Linked DNA regions of Mytilus edulis. The protein of the gene in region 2 interacts with the protein of the main gene of each other region in a pairwise test. Links are inferred from orthologs where the notes say so. Each region holds a gene or a part of one and is shown on either strand. Other genes may lie near its edges. The genes, in order: iron-sulfur cluster assembly 2 homolog, mitochondrial-like; E3 ubiquitin-protein ligase NRDP1-like; ubiquitin-conjugating enzyme E2-22 kDa-like.

Region 1 (7,976 bases), on a different chromosome or scaffold from region 2:
CGTCCGGAGGAATGGCAGCATCATGGAAAACTGTCAGTCCGATAGTTTGGCCATTATGGACTTCCAGATGAAAATCTTCATTCCATACTGGTTTTAAAGTTTTTGGCTTTGTTGACGTCCTGTAGATATGAATGTCATCTAGATCTATTGAAATATACGGGTCAATTAACTGTACGGCCTTAGCTACACTCATCTGAAGGCGAGTGGCACAATCAGTGGGTCGTAGATCGACCGCTTCGCAGATTTTTAATTTCATTGATCCAGTGAAAGATGCCATTTTGGGTAATTTCCAGACATTAAAGCGATATATCCACACACAACGTTAAGAATTCGGTATATTATATAATCGTGTCATGACAAATTGTGTGGCAACACTGCCATCGAGTTAAAAAATCATCCGTTGTATGCACTGCTAATTCACGGAAGTTCTACAATACTAATGGGAAAGGAATAAGCAGGTGTAGGTGTTACGCATGCGCTAAAATAGCAATTAGCGACCTTCAACTTCAAAGAAAATATATATTCTAATATCGGACTAAAATATATATACAGATTAAAAATAATTTCAATATATGTACATTGTCATAATTTTAAATAAAAGGGACAAATCATTTGAAACTATTTATGATGATGATTAAAATCTGGAGCCGTAAAATGTAAAAAATTAAAATGTTCATGATAATTATATCTATTGGCTAGGGTTTTGAATAATAGTCCTATAAACAACATTATTTTTTATAAGTAATAATATAGTTCAATAACGAAAAATGCGTATATTTCAATTCTGATTTTAAATACTTTAATTAACATACGAAGAGTACCCGTGTCTCTATGACGTCCGCATCATGAGTAGAGGTGTTTTCAGTGACGTCCTCGCTTAATTGACGTCCGCGTTTTTTCATGTTTAAAATAACGCTAGAATCGGGAGAGCAAACAATACTTTTTTTATACGAATACTCCAAATATGCACAACTATGAGTACATTGGTTTGAATGGGTGGTCTTCAATTAATTGAATTCCGTTTAATTTTTTGGAGGACTTTTAAGAAAATTTTAGTATAGAATAGAATATAATATTTTTATTTCCCAAATTACAGGGCGCATAAAGGGCATAAAATCCGATACAATTGATTTACATAATTGGTTAACAACAACAATAATAGAGGCATATACATATATATTTGGAATATAAGCAATTGGTCATAATCAAGCTAAAAACCACATATATATGGGAATAGAAGAATAATAAACTTATATTATATATGAATTTATTCTCAAATTATTTACTTAACTTAGTGTCAGTGTTCATACCTGATCTCTTTATCTTAAAAAAATAACTCATTTTTGCTCTTTTTTTTTTTCGTCCATTACTTACCATTATTCTCTATTGTGTACCAGTAACACTTGAAGATTGGGGACTAACAATTTATGATTTAAAATATTGCCTTTTAAATCTCAATATATATATATACTTTGCGATCCCCTGGTGCTGTTGAATATAATAGTACACGCACTATTCTCAATTAAAGGGTTCATATAGAGCATAATTATATCTACAAAGTTCATGCAATATACATCATCATCATGCACTAATATTTGCTGCATTTTATTCTCATTCATTGATGTATTTTCCTGCTCTGGACTAGAAAAAAGTGAATGTTTTAAAATCCCGTTTTAGAAGAATAATAAAATATTTCAACGATAATAGTTCTTGTAAAAAATATTACTTTATATTTTCCCTGACAGTCATAACTTTTAAATCTGACAAGACATACCATTTCATATTGAAAGTTATCGTGTTCTTATGGACGACATCAAAACATGCAAAAGATCGATGTAGGATAACAAACTTAAATCAAATAGTTTGGGGTGGGGGTTAACATTGCTGCAAGTTTTGTTAATTTAAAATCGATTTTACATATATCCATATAGGTAAATCAATTTTTCCCAAATTAAGTTAAGAGGGGGGTGGGGGCAGGGGGTCAGTGAAAAAACTATGTGAATTAAGTTTTTTTTTATCCTTCATTGAACTTTTGATGTCGTCCCTTAGCATACCAGAAAACTTACTTGCGGAAATTAAAATTTGAGCGGGACCTTAAATTAATTTATGACAATATGGCCCTTCCTTCGAGTACTATATGAAACGGTTTTCAACAACAAATATGTACAGAATAATCTTTTTAATAAAAATCTGCAACTTTAGTTTCAACATGTGCGTGTCGAGCTATCTGAAAAACCATTTCTTAAGCCTGGCAATCACAATCAATGGAAGCTTGGACCAATATGAATATTATCATGTATTAATGTATCATGTATTTAGTCCGAGATAGAACTGAGGAAAGTTAACAATACGAAAAGTACAATTCAGTATGCAATAATATTTAGTTTATGAAATTCCGATCGAAAAAAAAGCACAAAAAAAGAATCCAACATTGTTTTGCGACTTTGCCAGTCCAGAAAATTTAGTACATTTAGTGTTTTAATATAAAAAAAAAAGTAAAAACATAAAAATACTGAACTCTGAGGAAAATTCAAAAGGAAAATTCAAAATCAAAAGGCAAAATCAAAAGTCCAAACACATCAAACGAATGGATAACAACTGTCATATTGCTGACTTGGTACAGGCATTCTCTAATGTAGAAAATGGTGGATTGAACCTGGTTTTATAGCTAGAAGTTTGATGCAAAATTTAGAAATAGAAAGGTTACTTTTAAACTGTAAGTCTAGTGATAAGAGAATTAACACAACAAAGATGAGAATAATTTATTAAATAAAGTATTTATCATAATTAGTGCAGACCATAATTTATTGAAAGAAAAAGGAAAACATTTAAAAATACCTAGAAAAAGACTATGACCATCCTGCAATACATTGGAGGATGAAGCTCATTTCATTTTATACTGTAACAAAAATCTAAACTAAGAGATAACTTTTTAGGAAATGTAGTTAAACCTGGCACTATAATGTGTTATATATATATAGTAGTCTCAGGTTAAATACATGCCAGATTTTCATGATGTCCTCACGGTGTAGAAAATTGAATATTTTCCCCCATCAACTTCAAAACGGAATTTTAATATCCTTTTAAAACTTAAAACAGGTATTAGAATGAGGACATGAGCTCTTTGATTGATTTATCATAAAATATATATATGACTTAGTAGATCGTTAGATTTTTACTTGTGTATGTTTTTATTGGGATATGAAATATATCTGATATGACTTAGTAGATCCTGAGACTACTATAAAAATGTGTTATAGTACTCTCAGGTAGATCGTTAGATTTTTACTTGTGTATGTTTTAATAGGATATGGATTTCTATGGCTTTCATTTTAAAAATGTGTTTGGTGTTTGTTTGCATTCATGTAATTTGTCACAAACTTATATATGTTTAGAGTTAGTTAGTTTATATGACAAACTTTTTGAATAATTTGACTGATCATATATAAAATTTATGACCGTTATGTTCCTGTGTTGTATGCATCACTGTCTTTCGGTATTAAGCCTAAGTAAGAGCTAAAGGGATACAACTCTTGATGGAATGAAGTAAACAAAAACGAAATGACATCTCTTCTGAAAAAAGTGTCATATACGGCTTTCTGCGCAATTAGAAGACAAAATCTTACAAAATACAAGTATAAACAAGAACCTCATAACATCTTGAAGTTTAAAATGTTGCCTTGCTTTTATATATGACATTTTAGCTTATGCAACATTTTAAACTAACAATTTAACAATTTTCAACTTGAAAGACTTAGTAAACATGTTCCCTATGATTCAGTATGATATGATCTTTCTAATTTTAATGCCAAATAAGAGTTTTCCCCCAATTTCCTGGTCCACTGAACATAGAAAATGATAGTGTGAATGGGCCATCTGTGTACATGTACCATGAACGAATCCGGGTCCGTTCGCGCCCATTCACGTTCGCACCCACTCATGTTCGCCCCCTTTCACTTTCGCACCCAAAGTCCGTTCGCACCCTACATGTTCGCGCCCAATTTCAACTTTGTAATCAAGTAGTATTCTTATAAGTATTATTGTTTTCATTGTCTGAAAATAAAGTGATACAGCATTTTTTTGTGTTGAATAAATCTTAATCATGTTTTGGATAGTGTATTTAAAAAAAAAAAAATATTCCTTTCTATTTCTAAATAAAGTGGGATTCTGTCAACGTTTTATTTTGTGTTGAATAACTCTTTATCATGTTTTGGTTAGTGTATTACTATAACATGTATAACTTTGTTTCATATTGACTTGTTTCAAAATGAAGTGAGATTCTGACTACGTTTTTTTTTTTTTTTTGAGTCTTGAATAAATTTTATCATGTTTTGGTTATAATAGTGTATTGCTATATTTTATTGTTTCTTTGTTTCAGCATGTTCAGATCAAAGGGACCAAGCTGTTAAAAACAATTATCTTTTGTGTTTTTCATTTATAATCTTGAATCTTTTACTCATACCAAGCTATAAATACATTCATTATTTACACGAAAGCAATTAAAAACAACAATGATGATTTTCCAACTATTCAACTGGAATTTGAATTAAAATTGGGCGCGAACGTGTAGAGTGCGAACGTGCGAGGTGCAAACGTGTAGGGTGCGAAAGTATATTGGGCGTGAACGGACCTGATACCTACCATGAACACATTCTTATTCACCATGACGTCCATCTACATATTTTTTCTATAAAATTAGTTCTATGTCTAGATTATGTCTTCAAAAAAAATTTTTTTTTTTTAACTTGTACCTAAATGTTGCAGACCGTATGCATACTTTTTCAAAATACCCATATGGTCGGACCTTACGCATACGAAGAAAAGACATGAAAGTAAAAACATGGTATTCAGTTTGACTTTCACATTGGTATCACATCATCAATACATGGTATAAGTGTGAACCAATTGTCACTGGACATTAAGCCAGCAACAATCTATCAACCCACACTGGTATGAAGATATAAAAAAGAAGATGTAGTATCATTGCCAATGAGACAACTGTCCACAAGAGACCAAAATGACACAGAAATTAACAACTATAGGTCACCGTACAGCCTTCAACAATCATGACAATGAGAAAAGCCCATACCGCATAGTCAGCTATAAAAGGCCAGAAAAGATCTTTCAGTTATTACATGTGTGATTCTATGATGACTAGGCTCAGTTTAACAAACTTATACAATACAATACAATACAATATTTTTATTTTCAAATTTTAAAGGGCCCATTAAGAGCATAACATTAATTACAACTTATTACCTTAGAAAACTTGGCCTATAAGAAAGCTTAACCCCTTAAAATAAATAAGATTAACTTTGTTAGTTAGTGAGATGATGGTTGCATAATTTTAGATATTTCTTCTTCTTCTTCTTCCAAGTAAGGAACCGTATTCATCCTGAATGTTTTTGGTCCCGCGAAAAACTTGGCGCATTGCCGGGCAAGGCAGCAAGTCCTCTCAAAGTTATATACATTTAAAACATTCGCCAATTTACAATTAAAATTATGTACACTCTATGCTGTTCATTTCCTTCCAGAGCCTGCTTTCAGAGCAGCTCTGAAACCCTCTATCGAGTCGGCTGATGTTGTTTTAGCTGGTAGTTGATTCCAATCCCTGATGGTCTTTGGGAAGAATGACTGTCCATAGGTTTCAGATTTTGTTCTTTCTTGGTAAAAGCGGCCTATACCTCTGGTCCAGCTGTCATTGGATATTGTTGTCTATCTATATCAATAAGCCCATGCTGGATTTTAAATAGCATACATAGTCTGTTGGTTTTTCTACGTTCTTCCAGGCTTTTCCACTGTAATTGTTTAACCATGTGTGTTACACATCCAGGTGTTCGGTCTTAGTAGTTATTATGAACAAATCTTGCTGCTCTTTTTATACGACTGCAAAAATTTTAATTTTTCGTCGTATATTGCTATTACGTTGGCGTCGTCATCCTGCGTCGTCGTCCGAATACTTTTAGTTTTCGCACTCTAACTTTAGTAAAAGTGAATAGAAATCGATGAAATTTTCACGCAAGGTTTATGACCACAAAAGGAAGGTTGGGATTGATTTTGGGAGTTTTGGTCCCAACATTTTAAGAATTAGGGGCCAAAAAGGGCCCAAATAAGCATTTTCTTGGTTTTCGCACTATAACTTTAGTATAAGTAAATAGAAATCAGTGAAATTTAAACACAAGGTTTATGACCACAAAAGGAAGGTTGGGATTGATTTTGGGAGTTGAGGTCCCAACAGTTTAGGAATTAGGGGCCAAAAAGGGGCCCAAATAAGCATTATTCTTGGTTTTCGCACCATAACTTAAGTATAAGTAAATAGAAATCTATGAAATTTAAACACAAGGTTTATGACCATAAAAGTTTTGGTCCCAACAGTTTAGGAATAAGGGGCCCAAAAGGGTCCAAAATTGAACTTTGTTTGATTTCATCAAAAATTGAATAATTGGGGTTCTTTGATATACTAAATCTAACTGTGTATGTAGATTCTTAATTTTTGGTCCTGTTTTCAAATTGGTCTACATTAAAGTCCAAAGGGTCCAAAATTAAACTAAATTTGATTTTAACAAAAATTGAATTATTGGGCTTTTTTGATATGCTGAATCTAAACATGTACTTAGATTTTTGTTTATGGGCCCAGTTTTCAAGTTGTTTCAAATCAGGATCCAAAATTATTAGGGCCCCGCCAAAGGCGGGTCCCCTATAGTGATCAGTCTGTCCGTCCATAACACTTTGTGTCCGCTTCATATCTAGAGAACCATTATGATTTCATACTTTATACTTTACATGTTTATTAACCACCACCAGAGGGTGTGTCATGATATATGTACAACTTCCTAGGTCAAAGGTCAAGGTAAAAAAACTTTGGTTTCAGTTGACAACCCTTTGTCCTGTTGTGAAGATCATGTCCGCTCTATATATTGAAAACCGATATGATTTCAAAGTTTATACTTGACATGTATATGAACCAACACCAGAGGGTGTGTCATAATTTATGAACGACTGCCTAGGGCAAAGTTCAAGGATCAAAAACTTTGGTTTCAGTTGACAACCCCATGTCCTATGGTAAAGATTGTGTCCGCTCTAGATCTTGAGAGCCGTTATCATTTCAAAGTTTATACTTGACATGTATATAAACCAACACCAAAGGGTGTGTCATAGTTTATGTGCAACTTCCTAGGTCAAAGGTCAAGGTCAAAAACTTTGATTTCAGTTGACAACCCCATGTCCTATGGTAAAGATCGTGTCCGCTCTATATCTTGAGAACCGTTATCATTTCAAAGTTTCTACTTGACATGTTTATAAACCAACACCAAAGGGTGTGTCATAATTTATGTACAACTTCCTAGGTCAAAGGTCAAGGTCAAAAACTTTGATTTCAGTTGACAAACCCATGTCCTATGGTAAAGATACAATTTTTTAATGCACATTATTCACAGCGGGGCCCACAGAGATGACTCCCATCTCAATGATATCTAGTCATTTTAAGTATTGTGCAATAGCAAGAAATTTTCAATTGCACAGTATTCAGCAATAGCAAGAAATCTTCAATTGCACAGTACTGTGCAATAGCAAGAAATTTTCAATTGCTCAGTATTGTGCAATATCAAGAAATCTTCAATTGCACAGTATTGTGCAATAGCAAATATTTTCAATTGCACAGTATTGCGCAATAGCCAGAAATATCTAATTGCACAATATTGTGCAATAGCAAGAAATTTTCAATTGATTGGAGTTATCTTTCTTTGTCCAGCATAGTAGTTGAGTCAACTTAAATCATTGTTTTATACAATATAAAATTGAGAAAGGAAATGGTGAATATGTCAAAGCGACAACCACCCGACCATAGAGCAAACAACAGCCGAAGGCAACCAATGGGTCTTCAATGTAGCGAGAATTCCCGCACCCGTAGGTGTCCTTCAGCTGGCCCCTAAAATATGCATAATAGTACAGTGATAATAATATACAATGTATATTCA
Region 2 (7,976 bases):
AAGGTTCTAATTGTGGTAAAATCATCTTTGTTGAAACTTTGTTGAAAAAACAAAAATTATGACCTGATCGGACTATAATGAAAATACTAAATAAGTGTTTTATTCGTATTTTTATACGTTTTTACGTTTTATTTCATATGATAATGACATGGGCATATACATACAAGAATAATTATCTTATTTTAAATAAAAATGTCACACTTTTATCTGACAATGAATGGACATTTAAATAACGTATTTTAAAGCACACAGGTGCAATCAAGATCGATTAAATGTACAAAGGTAATAAATCTGGCTAATCCGATTATGTTGTCACGCGTCATTAATTTTCAGTTCATCCGATGGGCAATAAACCAATTAACAGCCACGCGGTGTTGGGAGAGAATCTTTGGAGGAAATTGGGAGTAGAATCCGTGATTCGCGGTGTCACACCGCTACACTCGGAAATCGGTGATAAAAGTTCGCGATTACAAACTCTCTGGGCGTACTGTAAATAAATAAAAAAAGTTTTGCCTTATCTCTGGAGTAGCATCTCTTTTAAAAATACTTTTTTATTTAGCAAATAATACCTGTATGACTTTATTTCAATAGTTTATTTTACAATGTTATGTAAAATACTGTGTTGTATCAATTATATATATGCTATGTGTACATGTATATGCCCCCCTGGGAACCTAACTTGAAAAATAAAATTAATCTTATCTAACAATGTACCTTGGCTATTAACCAGGTTTTTGACTTTCTAGTTCAAGAGATACATTTGCAACAGTCAGCAGGAAGACAAGTCACAATACCAGGACACATAAATACACAGAAATACATTTTTTGGCAGCATTCATTTAATTTTAATATAAAGAATATTTCTAACTGAATCACATATTCTTTATTTTGACACATACCTGTAGGGGTTCTTCTAAAACACTGCTACAGATAGGACATATCAGCTCCTCGTCAACATCGCCCTGAAATCTGTTTACTTCATATCCCATCTTCCTGTAATTGAAATATTTCATATTATTAGCATTGCTCAATTTACACAATTCATTATATGTATAATAAATGTACACAAGGTAGTTCCAGAATTCCAAAAAAGGATTTTCCAATGTCAGTCTGACATTTATTATCAACTCTTTTTCTTCTTGTGTTTACAATAAAAAACAGTATCTCAAAACTTACATTTGTGTACTGATTTATGTGGATCTTCTTCCTTATTGACAGTACTTAGCTATATCTTCCCAATATGACCATGATGACAGTAAACAAACATTGTCATCGAGTCATAAATTGAAAAACATGATAAAGATTAATATCATGATAATTCTTGAAAACCAGTGATCTTTTTAAAAAAAATGATTTTAAGTACATGTGCATTGTCATTAATAAAATAGATGCAAGACAAATATGATCTAGTCAAATATAATGTAAGTACTACTTTATTTAAAAGATATGGAGCTCCAGATCTGGACCCTACATGTATAACATAAATTACATAAATAAACTTAACAATGAGTAATTTTGCATAGGAACCATTACAAAGGATCTTGGTGCAGCAACATCATAACTGCAAAAAATATGTGCTTACTCTGAACATGCTGAAGTTGAACAGCAGAGAGCGCAATTTAAAAAATCCTGACATTGCCTAGGGTCTGGGAATAACCCTAAATATTTTTAGAACAAATCTTGCAAGAGGAAGGTGATTTCAAGAACTGGCGAGCCCTAGCCTGAATCCTGCATTTAAACAAATATAAATTTAAGTACCTTAATAAATTACCATGAGCAACAGTGTACCATACAATTGTAAGAGGAAAAGCGTAGAATATATAAGAGACAAGTTGTGTCAATTATGACCCTAGGATCAGGATCAAAACTTTTCAAGTTACATGCTGTAAGTGTGTAACAGGAGTGAAAGTTGTGATGTTTAGTTTGTATATAAAACTATATAATTCCTAGCATTTCCCATCTTGTTTCCTATTTTCCCTGGTTCTGAGATATTAGTCCTATAATAATTAATTCCTTAGAAATTCTGATGGTTTATTAAACTATTGATTACATCAATATTGTCCATACATGCCATACACTTTAGATACAATTCAGTGGTTGACGTTCTTACCATAAATATTATTGTTTCCCCAAGGGTTTTCTAGCAGCTGTCAGTATGAAGTATTAAATCGGGGTTCTCTTGGGACTAGGCACTACCCACTAAAACACCTGACCGGGCTCGGGACCAAAGAAAGTGTCCCGACTGGAAGTACAATATAATAGTTAGAACGTCAATCACTACAAGTCAAGTGTCATAGACTCCTAATAAGCAATTCAATATATATCAAACGTCAATGAAATTAAATTTTAAAAATCTAAGCTTGTTTTTAGTATCCCATTTGTTTGAGGGTGGTAATCACTAATGGGGGTGCCTTCATGACGAAATTGTTTTTAGGCAAATGACGTAAACAGTAATATTTGGTGCATGACGATTAAATTTACATTTTCTTCAGACGATAAAAATTATCAATTGATATTGATGATTCACGTTTAATTTGTCCAACAATTGACGCTAACGATAATTATACATTTGTTATGTGAGACCTCTGACAAATCACAATCAGAATTTTTGACAAATCACAGTAAAAATTTTACCAATTTGACAGTAACGGTACATGAAAAAGACCGTTTTACGCCTGACAGTAAATTAAAGGGCATATAATTACTACCCCTAGTATTCGATCCAGTACAGTGCCAGAAGATTGGAAACAAGCAAACGTAACAGCAATATTTAAGAAAGGAAGCAGATATGATGCTAGTAACTATAGACCCGTCTCACTCACCTGTCTATGTTGTAAATTCCTGGAACACATCATTGTCAGTAACACCTTGAAACATCTAGACAATCACAAAATACTTACCAACTGTTAACATGGTTTTAGAGCAAGACGAAGCTGTGAAACTCAACTCATCACGTTTGGCATGAGCTTGCATCAGCTCTAGACAGAGGAGAGCAGATTAATATGGTTATCCTTGATTTCTCTAAGCATTTGCTAAGGCCTTTGATCGTGTCTCACATACATGTAGACGGCTGCTCAACAAACTACAGCATTATGGAGTTACAGGACAAACACATAAGTGGATTTAATCGTTCTTAGCCAAACGTACCCAACAAGTCATGGTTGAGGGAGAATCTTCAGAGAAAGTTCCTGTGGTCAGCGGAGTCCCCCAATGGACTGTACTTGGACCGTTACTATTCCTCCTATTCATTAATGACTTAACTGACAACATAACATCCAACACACGACTATTTGCAGACGATTGTATAGTATACAGAACGATAACATCTACTGTTGATACTAATGTAGTTACAAGAAGATCTTAACAAACTTGCAGAATGGGAAAAAACCTGGGGCATGGACTTTCACCCACAGAAATGTAGTGTACAATCTACCACTAGATCACGTTCACCAATAATACACTCATACACGCTTAAGGGACAAGTGCTAGAAAGATCAAAAAGTACCAAATACCTTGGAGTCGACATTGAATCAGACCTCTCCTGGAAACAACACATCAATAGCGAAACCAAGACAAATGCATATGTTGCAATGGTCAGATCCAACTTAGACTACTGCGCAACAGTATGGAATCCACATTAAAAAGAGCAAGTAAAAAAGGTTGAAATGGTCAAGCAGCCGCTATAGGAACACCAGTAGTGTGGGCAGCATGTTAGAAGAACTAGACTGGGATTCATTGGAAAACAGAAGAGTCAAATTACAGCTTACATTACTCTACAAAGTTGTTAATGATCTTGTGGACATACCATGCGACACGTACTTAACACCAATGTCATCGAGAACAAGATCATCACATACAAAGAAGTTCCGGCAATATTCAACCAAGACTAATGGCTACAAATACAGTTTTTTCCCCAAGAACAGTGACAGTTAGGAACACACTACCAGCAACTGTAGCTGAGGATCCCTCCTTGGTATCTTTCAAGAGGGAGCTTTCAACACTTTCTATCTAATCTGTGCATTCCCCCATTTGCCAAGTAAGTCAAAATGATGGACTGGAGCTGTGCCGGCTGGGATTATTTTCCCTGGTACCCCCACGGAAGATATTCTTTGGTTATCTTACAAAATTACTCTTTTTCTTGCGCCCACCAGAAGCGTTGACTATTGGTCAAGTTTGACAGATCAACTTGGAATGTAGATGTACCCTCATTTGTTTGTATTGGGAATATTACTTGCACATAGATTTTTTCGAAAGTCATTCACTGTCAAAACAATCCATGTATGCTTTGAGGGAAATATTAGGATATTGTAGTTCCGATATTGAGACACTTTCCGATACAGGTAGTTATTCTTTGAGGACTTTGTGTCTGTGATTTAGGGTTTGGGAAACCACCGTCTCCTGGTTCGGCCTACTTCGACAAAGGAGTCAGGCAGTATAATTGGGAAATTTATAATTAAAATAATAAGTGATGTGTTTATTTTTGCTTGAAACCAATTTTACCAGTTCAAATGAAGGCAAACTTCTGTAATAGTGGATAATCAGTGTCTGTTTTTCTTTTCATGATGTCGCCATATTTTCATCAACTTCCTGCAAGAACAATAACTCTGCTAAATCAGTAAGTTTTTTTTAGCGGGAACTTCAAACTCGGGTCGTATTATTTTTTACCCAAAACTAACTTATGTTTTAACTTAGTTTCATTTATGTATTAAATGCATTTGTAAGTCGTTGGACAAAAGTGAGTACCCACTCAAAAAATGTCCTATCATTTCAACTAAAATCGCACCACCAAACGGTGTATTTAGGATTTTGCTATATACACGGGTCATAGTCACAGGGTTGACACTGACTACTAAATTCAATCATTGTCAAATTGTTCCCTATTGTAGTATTTTAATTAGTAAGATAATAATACGAATACTAAAAATATGGACCTAAAATGATAAGGCGTTTATGTACAGTTTCGGTTAATTTGGTAGCGGGCATGACGTAAAACAGCGAATCAAAGAATTCAACTTTATTTATAACTAATGTAGGACAATGCTGTTGATTAAAAAATACTCCATTCCAAGACCTTTTATTTTCCAAATAATTAATATTACAAATAATTGATAAGTTCCAGGTCGACGGGTTCAAACAGAAAGTAGAGGAAACTGTGTATCTTATAATCGGCAGTACTTTATATATCATATGACAATACTAATACTAAAATAAGGCTAACGCATAGTTATATACTTCAATTCAGTCAAGGACCCGCGATTTCACGGGTGTGTTCTAGTATGATAAATGTATATTCTTTTCCCGAAACCCCCTTTCTCAGTTCGTCTAAATCCTGGATCCGCACCTGGTGACTGCTATGACTATGATCGTCCAATGCATATCTAAAAAAATAAAACATGTAAATATGTCCACTACAAACCAATCGCCTATGAAACAAGTATTGGAGATTTTGTCTTTTTTTTCAATTATATTCGTGCAAAACAAAGAACAAGCTTTACGAAACTTTTTGTCCACTACGACCGAAACGGTTTTGTCCACTACGACACTCATCAAAATGTCCACTGCGTAACGTGAGTTGTACCTTCATATTGCCATATATCATAACTTCCTTTTAAATTTACCTCTTCGCTCATTCCCATATTTTGTGGCATTCCTAATAGTTCTTGGGATTTTTTTGTATTATAACATAGTTCGTGTTTTCCCATTTACAAATTTCTTGAAGCTGGTTCACCTTTCAAATTTTATGATATAATAGTATGTAGCTGTTTTCATTAGAACTATTTTAAATAATATAAACAGAAATGTCATAAGATGTTGAAACGTGATTAATTCATCACCATAATTTCATCATATACTATCAGATATACGTTTTAGTGTCAATATAAAAAAAACACTATCCAGTTACGATTATCTTCTCATTTTTAGCTGCTTTATCTTCTCATTTTTAGCTGCTTTTCTCACCACTTGGCGTCCGTCGTCCGTCGTCGTCGTCGTCCGGCGTCGTCCGTCGTCGTCGTCGTTAACAATTTACATTTTGAACTTCTTCTAGAGAACCACTGAATGGAATGGAACCAAACATGGCATGAATGTTCCTTATGAGGTGCTGACCAAGTGTTGTTACTTTGTAGTCGATCCATCATCCAAGATGGCCGCCAGCGGGGGACTTAGTTTAACATAGGACGCTATGGGAAATGCATACAAATGACTTCTTTTAGAGAACCATTGAATGGAATGAAACCAAACATGGCATTAATGTTCCTTATGAGGTGCTGACCAAGTGTTGTTACTTTGTTGCCGATCCATCATCCAAGATGGCCACCAGCCGGGGACCCAGTTTAACACAGGACCCTATGGGAAATGCATACAAATGACTTCTTTTAGAGAACCACTGAATGGAATAAAACCAAACATAGCATGAATTATCCTTATGGGGTGCTGACTAAGTGTTGTTACTTTGTAGCCGATCCATCATCCAAGATGGCCGCCAGCGGGGGACTTAGTTTAACATAGGACCCTATGGGAAATGCATACAAATGACTTCTTCTAGAGAACCACTAAATGGAATGAAACCAAACATAGCATGAATGTTCCTTTTGGAGTGCTGACCAAGTGTTGTTACTTTGTAGCCGATCCATTATCCAAGATGGCCACCAGCGGGGACTTAGTTTAACATAGGACCCTATTCGAAATGCATACAAATGACTTCTTCTAGTGAACCACTGAATGGAATGAAACCAAACATGGCATGAATGTTCCTTATGAGGTGCTGACCAAGTGTTGTTACTTTGTTGCCGATCCATCATCCAAGATGGCCACCAGCCGGGGACCCAGTTTAACACAGGACCCTATGGGAAATGCATACAAATGACTTCTTTTAGAGAACCACTGAATGGAATAAAACCAAACATAGCATGAATTATCCTTATGGGGTGCTGACTAAGTGTTGTTACTTTGTAGCCGATCCATCATCCAAGATGGCCGCCAGCGGGGGACTTAGTTTAACATAGGACCCTATGGGAAATGCATACAAATGACTTCTTCTAGAGAACCACTAAATGGAATGAAACCAAACATAGCATGAATGTTCCTTTTGGAGTGCTGACCAAGTGTTGTTACTTTGTAGCCGATCCATTATCCAAGATGGCCACCAGCGGGGACTTAGTTTAACATAGGACCCTATTCGAAATGCATACAAATGACTTCTTCTAGTGAACCACTGAATGGAATGAAACCAAACATGGCATGAATGTTCCTTATGAGGTGCTGACCAAGTGTTGTTACTTTGTTGCCGATCCATCATCCAAGATGGCCACCAGCCGGGGACCCAGTTTAACACAGGACCCTATGGGAAATGCATACAAATGACTTCTTTTAGAGAACCACTGAATGGAATAAAACCAAACATAGCATGAATTATCCTTATGGGGTGCTGACCAAGTGTTGTTACTTTGTAGCCGATCCATCATCCAAGATGGCCGCCAGCGGGGGACTTAGTTTAACATAGGACCCTATGGGAAATGCATACAAATGACTTCTTCTAGAGAACCACTAAATGGAATGAAACCAAACATAGCATGAATGTTCCTTTTGGAGTGCTGACCAAGTGTTGTTACTTTGTAGCCGATCCCTTATCCAAGATGGCCACCAGCGGGGACTTACTTTAACATAGGACCCTATTCGAAATGCATACAAATGACTTCTTCTAGTGAACCACTGAATGGAATGAAACCAAACATGGCATGAATGTTCCTTATGAGGTGCTGACCAAGTGTTGTTACTTTGTAGCCGATCCGTCATCCAAGATTGCCACCAGTGGGGGACTTTTGAATGAAATTAAACATGTTCCTTTCCTTATAAATGAGGTGCTGACCAAGTGTTGTTACTTTGTTGCTGATCCATCATCCAAGATGGCCGCCAGCCGGGGACTTATTTTAACATAGGACCCTATGGGAAATGCATACAAATGACTTCTTTTAGAG
Region 3 (7,976 bases), on a different chromosome or scaffold from region 2:
TTGTAAATGGGTACAACTCTAGAACAGTAAAAGTGATGCCACCGAAATTCAAACTTAATCTGTGTTTTGTATAAATAAGCATTGAGTTTAAGTTTCATTACATTTGGTTGAGGCAAACTTAAGTTAGAGAAAGGAACTGAAATATTCCGCATTTTTTTTCATTTGTAAAGGGGCATAACTCTAGACAGTATAAGCTTTGTGTATAATTTTGAACTTTCATAACATTTGGTTGAGGCAATTTAAAGTTGGAAAACGTAAGCCAATTTAGGATGTTGGTAAGTTCAAACAGTCCGACAAGGGTGAAACTTTAAGCCCTCTCTGCTACGGCAGGGGCATAAAAAGATCGAATTTGGCATTCAATTTCAAAAGTTCACAAACGACTTAATGCACATTTTCAGTTACTTTCAATTTTTTTATTAATACAACAGGTCTTTTAATCACAAAAACTCACCACTGATCTTTTAAAATATCTAAACAAATAGCTCCTGTGACAGAACTAATATTTGGGTGCCATATTCTTGTAGTAAATTTTACCTGTAAAAAAGATTTGTTTACCATTAATATACTCAACCACAAAAGAGACTTCAGGCCATTAGTTTTCTCATTAGAATTCAATTGTTAAATTTTTGCCAAATAATGGTATGGGTTTTGCTCATTGTTGCAGGCCATACAGTGTCCTATGTTAGTTACAGGGAATAAATTTAAACTTTTTTCTCTATGGGCTAGCTTGGACAATATTCCCCAGCCTAAAATCTCTCAAATAATAAAATTTCAGGTACATGTTATTGTACAAGTTTATTGTAAATTTATAAATAAGAAATCAAGAGGAACATGTTTTCAGTTTTATGGTTAATAAATGAGAGTCAACATCTTCCTAGGTTTATATCTTTAATAATAAGGATGACTGATACCTGAAATGCATATATACACAGTACATTACAGTGCTCTAGCTAGAAATCAAAAGGGGCAGGGTGCCAGTGGAGGGCAGGGCACTTTTTATGATAAGAAAAGGCACTGCTCATTTATTTGTCTACGTTTCTGTGTGTATCACGAGGTAATGAATCTCTTTTTTTTTTTTACTGTATATGTTGTTTTTTTTAAATAAAGATGCTTTTCAACTATAGTCTTTATTTCAATGTTTGTGTAGTTATGAATGATATAGTACATCTTCATCAACATATTATGTTTTTACAGTTTAACTTCACTCTACCCATTATCAAAAGAATATGTGTTTTATGTTTTATCTACATAGGAATTATAGCTTTTAATACATCATAAGATGTGAAACTGAGAGCATTACTAATTTAACAATGTTTAGAACATGGATTGCTAAAAGTATAATTATTAAGTAGAAATTGCAATATATATTTTTTAATATGTTCAAAGACAGTTAATATCTTTAAGGTAACATTATTATGTTATTATATATTCAATTGGTAATTTATTCCTTTTTTGATACTAGATAATATTTTTAGAGCACAAATTTGTAATAAGCTAAAACAGGGGAAGTAACTCCAAAATCAATTTCCACCACGTTTGGGTTAATTAAAAACTGTGCTTGTCGCTAACAAGTTGAGATGGAAGGCATTTCTGTAAAGGCATAGTTTTATTTTGATGACTTAAATTCAATTCTAAAGCCATGAAAGTCTTCATTTATATACGCTCTTCCATTGTGACTTGGAGATCGAAAATAAGAAAATAACGACCCAAGCTAAACACACCACACTCGCTGACACATTCATCAAAAGTATGACAAAAAGATACATTGTCCTAATTAAATTACCTAGTTATTAACACCTTTGAAGTCTTTATCATTGTAATTGATTGTAATGACATGATTAACCTGGGGGCAATCACACAGGTCATATATGTAATTAACTTGGAGATCAGAAATCGATGAAACAAAATTTTACCAAAACGGCACAAGATAATTTTGGAAAAAGACGTCAGGGCAGAAGGGCGCGGATGAAGGCACCCAGGGAGCGGCTGAGGGCACCCAGGGCGCGGCGCCCTTCTATTTTGGGCTAGCGAGACCACTGCATTAGTATATGATTAGTTAGTTAATTTGATATTTTTTTTTACATGTAACTCTGTTATAAAATGTTTAACAATGGAGGTTACTCAGGTATACATTTTTATCCCTAGGACTAATTGGTATTTAAAGTATTCATGTAAATTGCAAAAGAAAACCTGAGCAATGATATCTTATTAATGTTCAGCTTTTATTACACATCAAAAATGAGCATTGTTTTTGGCATAGTAAATGATAAAATACATAGTGTCCAAGTCAATATTTCAGCTTACCTTAGGAGGATTAAATGGATATGTTTCTGGAATTTTAATTTCTAGTTTGAATGTTCCTCCAGCATATGGTGTGTCGGGAGGTCCTGCTATCGTCCCTTCTAACTCATTATACATATCATTTTTCAGTGATACTTTTATCTTACAGCGTTCCACCTGGATTATAAAAGATAAACGCATTTAGTTATACATGTATGTTAGATATTTGTAAGAAGGTAAAATCTACTCATTATCACTTTCCACTTGTATGTTATTTTTGTTAAACTTAAATAAATGAAGAATATATCCATAGGACAGATGTCTAGGGCTTGTAAATATACAACAAATTACATTTTTTTCATTTATAAAGGGACATGAACAGTGCAAGTGATGCCACTCAAATTTGAACATGACCAGTGTTTGGTGGTAAAAACCAATGTGTTTAAGTTTCAAAATATTTGTTTGAGTCTAGGTAAAGTAACTTTCACTGTAAGAGTGCAGAAACACAACAGGTAAACTTATTTAATCCTTAGAACATGTTGAATATCTTATTCTAAAAGGTTGCCAAATGCAATTCAACACTGTAATAAGATCTAGATCTTTTTCAACTGATTTTAAGTATTTGTTTTTATGTTGCACTGTTACATTGTACATTACTTTTCCAGGTTAATTGAGGGTTGCATTGGCACCTTTTTAACCATGCAACATTCTTTATATGCCTGATAAACATGTTTCAAAAGACTGTCAGTAGCCTGTAATTGAGTAGTTATTGTTTTTTGTTTTCTCATTTGTTTTCCCTTTAGTTTTATTTGTTAAGTTTGTTCTGTGTTGTGCAGTTACATTGCTGTCCTGGGTTAGAGAAGGATTGGCACCTCCAAACATGTTTAACCCTGCCAAATTCTATATGTGGCTTACTGTAGTTTAGTGGTTGTCATTGTTTCATGTCTGTCAGGAGTAGTTCAAATGATAAAAGACTGTTTACAACAACAGCATTTTTTATTTGTCAATCAAAACATCCCATGCACCCAGAGGCGCAGAACAATTAGTTTAACTGTAAAGTTTGCCAGAATAAAGTCTGTACTTCAAATTGTTTGTATATAGCTAGGACATGTAGGACATTGGGATTTTTCATTTATTTACATGCAAGTTTCTTTTATCATGTTTCTGTATGGGAAATAGATGCATAAGCTTTTTACACCTGTTCAGAGTTTAACCTTGATAGCTTGCACTAATCATGCTAATCACGTAACTTTTATTTTTTTACTTATCATGCTTATTCATAATGCATGCTGTTTTGTTTAAAATGAATATCAAATTATGTGTGAAAGTTAACTTTTAAATAAACCTCTATACTATAAATTAAGTGACATGATACAGAATACAAAATAAAATGTGTATATTCATTGGTATTGGGGTAGTCAGACCCAGAGTGAGCATAAATCAAGGTGAACCGTCCCAGATTCTACAAAGCAAGTCACACACAAAATAAGCCTGTACAGGTGATTATTGGAACATTCCTTATTGCAGTCAACTCAATTTCCCCATATTGGTTTCTGCCTTGGTGAGGAAGATTAGTTTATTGTAACTAACTGAGTTTACCCTCTTTAAATAAAGAATTTATTATTATTATTATTATTATCAATCTACATGTTATAAGTCATTTAGGGCCTTTTCTAGCGGACTATGCAGTGTGGGTTTGCTCATTGTTGTAGGCTGTATGGTGACCTTAATAGTTGTTAATTTCTGTGTCATTTTGGTCTCTTGTGGAGAGTTGTCTCATTGGCAATCATACCACATCTTCTTTTTAAAGTTGAGTATGAAATAATTATGCTTATTAAACTGGGAATAATACTAAATAGTGATGTAGAAATTTTGCCATCAGACCAAAATTCACAACTTTTAGCATCAATGGCAATGACAAGAGTGATCTGAGCTATTAACCATGAATTTGGGGATGTTACCCATCAATCAGGAAATTAGGTAACTAGGAATAGTCTCCTTCAGGTTGTCCTGTTAAAATGTCTTGGTCATAACTCATATTCACTTCTGTCCTGATAAGGAAATGATAAGTCCATGATGAAATCAGTAAATATATGGTTCTAGATTGAAACCATTTCATGATAAAGATTGGCTTTTGGAGTCGGTGTGATCATGAAATAAATCTGCTGTTTATAGATGGAATATATCTCAAAGAACATAGCAGTCTGTACCTCTTCACTTTTAACCACTTCTTTGAATTCTCTTTGTATTCGAGCAGCAGCAATATTGGCCATATTTACAAGACAAAATGTTACATCAATCACAAGTTAAGGGCAAAATAAATCAATAGAATTAATTTTTAAACGGGATGAGTAACACTTTCAATGTTTTTTTCAACAGTGCTTGTTCCGGAAGTGAGCACATGGAAAGTTGCGCATTAAATACAAAACTGAACTTTTTACTTTAATCACGGAAATTTTTGAATTAAATATATTTGCGATAAAATAAGATAGAATTATATATAATTCCGCTAATGTTTCATTGAAGTTAACTATTTTCTACGTTTCGTTGAAATATATTAGGTCATATAAGGTCAATCTTAGGGTCAAGTTGTCTTAATCATGTTCACGCTTTACAGTAACATCCGTTACAACCAAGCGTAGAAATGAAAATACTCACATGCATCCTGAGGCCAAACGTGTTTAATGTTGGGTATTCGTAAACAAATTTCTGAATCAAAAAGCTTGACAGACTTCGGAAGAATGCCTAACATTAAGGTTTTTAGTGGAAGTTCTCATGTTGATCTTGCACAGAAAATTTGCGATCGTCTTGGAATAGAACAAGGCAAAGTTGTTACCAAAAAATTTAGCAACGGTGAATGCAGGTGATCATGAGTGATTTTATCATTATTTTGTATCCATGCCCATGGGGCACCAACAGACTATTTGACCTGAATAGTGACACTCGTTGAAAATTAGGTTTTAGAGTTGATATTTCTTATGTGAGACAGCTGTTACACATGATGAGATTTGAAAGTTGGTTTTTAATTTGCATGTTTAAAAAAATTACTAGGCATTTCCAATGATTTTCTCATTATAAATGTGAGTAAAATTATGTGGGATCATGGCTTAGACATAGGTTTCTGGTCGCCCTTGGTCTATTCTCATCAAGTTCTTTCGACCATATTCTGTTTCTGATTCTGTTAACGTAGTTCTGCCAATCAAGGCACACCTCCATTCACATAGAGGAAAATGTCAATACACAATATATCACATTATTGCATAGCAATATAATATTTCCCACAGAAAGTATCCAAAAGTTAGCGTGCAATAAATTCCAATATTGCACTAGAGTAATAAATCTTTGAAATTAATGATGTCATCAACGACAAAATCTTAGTTTAAACCAATTTTAACTTTCTAATATTATATTGCTATACAATAAAAGGGTTATTGCATGAATACACCTTATCGCTAATCCCGGCTGACCCAGCCGCTTGAACTTTTGACGTCAATAACAATCACTTTTCCATTGTGGCGTCAGACATTTTGTTTTATGACGTCAAAATTTTACGGGAACCTGTGTGATATCCAGTAATGGCGGACAAATAGCGATAAGGTGTATATTGGGGAATATTGTCCCTCGTAGAACATATATTGCATTCGCAAGCTCATGCAAATATAGAATTCTACTTGGGACAATATTCCCCAATATTCAAATTTCCACCACCTCAAGAATTTATGTTACATACACAAATAAATCAAAAAAAGAAATCTTTGATAGAAATAAATTAAATGTTCTTTCAATATAAAAACAACTCATTTTGGGACCATGTGTGCCTGTTATTTAATTGCAAGGTCAAGCTTCCTATACTACACTATTAAGCATAGAGTCTGTTTGCCCTTGTTCAATCGCTCTACTTTTATTAAAAAATATAAATAAATTTTATATGAAGGATAAAATGTAGATTTTGGCTTATATCTCTGAAACCAAAGCATTTAGAGCAAGTCTGACGTGAAATAAAATTGTTCCTCAGGTCAAGATCTACATGTATCTGCCCTGAAATTTTCAGACAATTCAGGCAACCCCTAGTTGGGTTGCTGCCCCTGAATTATTAATTTGAAAAAAAATTTGTTGTTTTAGGTTATTATTTTGAATATTATTATAGATAAAGATAATTTGTAAACAGCAATAATGTTCAGCAAAGTATGACATTCAAATAAGTCATCATGACAAAAATGGTCAATTGACCACATAAGGAGTTAACAATTTTTCAAAAATTTTTGTAATCTATTAAAAAAAGTTTTCTGAATCAAATGAGACAAATTTAACCAAACTTGGCCACAAATAAGCAATATTAATAGGGTATTTAGTTTTTTTAATTGTGTCCGATGACCCTGCCTGCCAAACAACATGGTAGACATGGCTAAAAATAGAACGTAGGGGGAAAATGCAGTTTTTGACTAGTACCTCTAAAACTAGAGAAAAAGTATAATGGTTGCATTATTTCATGCATTAATTGTAAATAAAAATATCATGTGTGCAAAACAGGTTCTTTGGAGCCTCTTTTTTTTTTTTTGTTGTTGCCTATTATCACAAAAACTATGATATCCAGAGAGAAAATCCTTTTTTCAGTGTTGAGATTATACAATTTGTCTGTTGAGAAACAGTAATTATATATCAATCCTTTTTTTCAGTGTTGAGATTGGAGAATCTGTGCGTGGAGAAGATGTGTACATTGTACAGAGTGGTTGTGATGAGGTGAATGATATGTTGATGGAATTGTTGATCATGATAAATGCCTGTAAGATAGCATCTGCGTGTCGTGTCACAGCTCTCATTCCATGTTTCCCATACGCTAGACAGGACAAAAAAGATAAAGTAAGTATTTTTAAAGAACAGTGCTACATTTTCCATTACTTCAAGTTTTGAACATATATATCTATTTAAGCCTCAGTCAGGATGGGAACAATTTTATCCCTCTATAGAAGGATTATCTCTCTATACAGGTATAATCACCATGTAGAGGGTTTGTTCCCAACCTGTCAGTGGCTGAGATGTCTAAATAGTTAATTTTCTATGGTAGCAAGCCTCTTACTGTCAACACTTATTCTTAAAACTGCAATGTGGAAATAAGCTTTTGAGTTAAAAAAAAAAAAACAAAAAAACTATTTGGTAATAACAAAAAAAGGTTACTGGTAGGTCCTTGTTGTGGGTTTGATATTTGTTTATATCAGGGCTTCCAAAAAACATTTGAGCCAGCCGGACATTTTATATCTGATCCCGATTTTAATCCCTTAAGACCTAAGTCACAAAAGGCAATTATGGTAATCAGATGGCCATTCCTATGATAATGACATTAGATGAAAAAACGATTTTAAACTTTACTTTGTTTTGGATGTTTGGATGTAAACTGTTAAATTGGCAGTGCATCATTCAAAGTGTGCACATCAGCGTGCTCATATCTGCCATAGACTCTTTATTTGTGCAAAATGACATGTCAAAAACTACATTTTCGTTTTTAAAATCACGTTTTTCTAAAACCAGATGTTGACTTGACAATGGTAAAACATGGACCGTAAACGAACACGTAAAATCCATGTACGTTTGCAAAGAATGACTGAGTGAAAAGCTCTATCCACGTTATTTCTTCATCAAAATGCTTGAAATGAACGTTAAGATACAGGTTTCAATGATAATTTTAGCATTTTGAAGAA

What was found.
Region 1: the proteins of E3 ubiquitin-protein ligase NRDP1-like (region 2) and iron-sulfur cluster assembly 2 homolog, mitochondrial-like interact in binary tests that used the Homo sapiens proteins (3 or more experiments, as listed by UniProt). The link is inferred for Mytilus edulis from reciprocal best matches to the Homo sapiens genes RNF41 and ISCA2.
Region 3: the proteins of E3 ubiquitin-protein ligase NRDP1-like (region 2) and ubiquitin-conjugating enzyme E2-22 kDa-like interact in binary tests that used the Homo sapiens proteins (3 or more experiments, as listed by UniProt). The link is inferred for Mytilus edulis from reciprocal best matches to the Homo sapiens genes RNF41 and UBE2K.

Annotation. Positions count from the first base shown.
Region 1 is NC_092346.1:1,251,830-1,259,805, reverse strand, and holds the start of iron-sulfur cluster assembly 2 homolog, mitochondrial-like, read left to right. Parts: upstream 1-3,501; 5' UTR 3,502-3,561; coding exon 3,562-3,635; intron 3,636-7,976. Other genes in the region: calcium-independent protein kinase C-like, read right to left, coding at 1-277. UniProt on the Homo sapiens protein: Involved in the maturation of mitochondrial 4Fe-4S proteins functioning late in the iron-sulfur cluster assembly pathway. May be involved in the binding of an intermediate of Fe/S cluster assembly.
Region 2 is NC_092357.1:19,896,153-19,904,128, reverse strand, and holds the start of E3 ubiquitin-protein ligase NRDP1-like, read right to left. Parts: upstream 4,617-7,976; 5' UTR 4,501-4,616; intron 994-4,500; 5' UTR 990-993; coding exon 900-989; intron 1-899. UniProt on the Homo sapiens protein: Acts as E3 ubiquitin-protein ligase and regulates the degradation of target proteins. Polyubiquitinates MYD88. Negatively regulates MYD88-dependent production of pro-inflammatory cytokines.
Region 3 is NC_092351.1:24,259,667-24,267,642, reverse strand, and holds the start of ubiquitin-conjugating enzyme E2-22 kDa-like, read right to left. Parts: upstream 4,872-7,976; 5' UTR 4,554-4,871; coding exon 4,491-4,553; intron 2,458-4,490; coding exon 2,305-2,457; intron 535-2,304; coding exon 452-534; intron 1-451. Other genes in the region: ribose-phosphate pyrophosphokinase 2, read left to right, coding at 4,965-5,143, 6,957-7,140. UniProt on the Homo sapiens protein: Accepts ubiquitin from the E1 complex and catalyzes its covalent attachment to other proteins. In vitro, in the presence or in the absence of BRCA1-BARD1 E3 ubiquitin-protein ligase complex, catalyzes the synthesis of 'Lys-48'-linked polyubiquitin chains.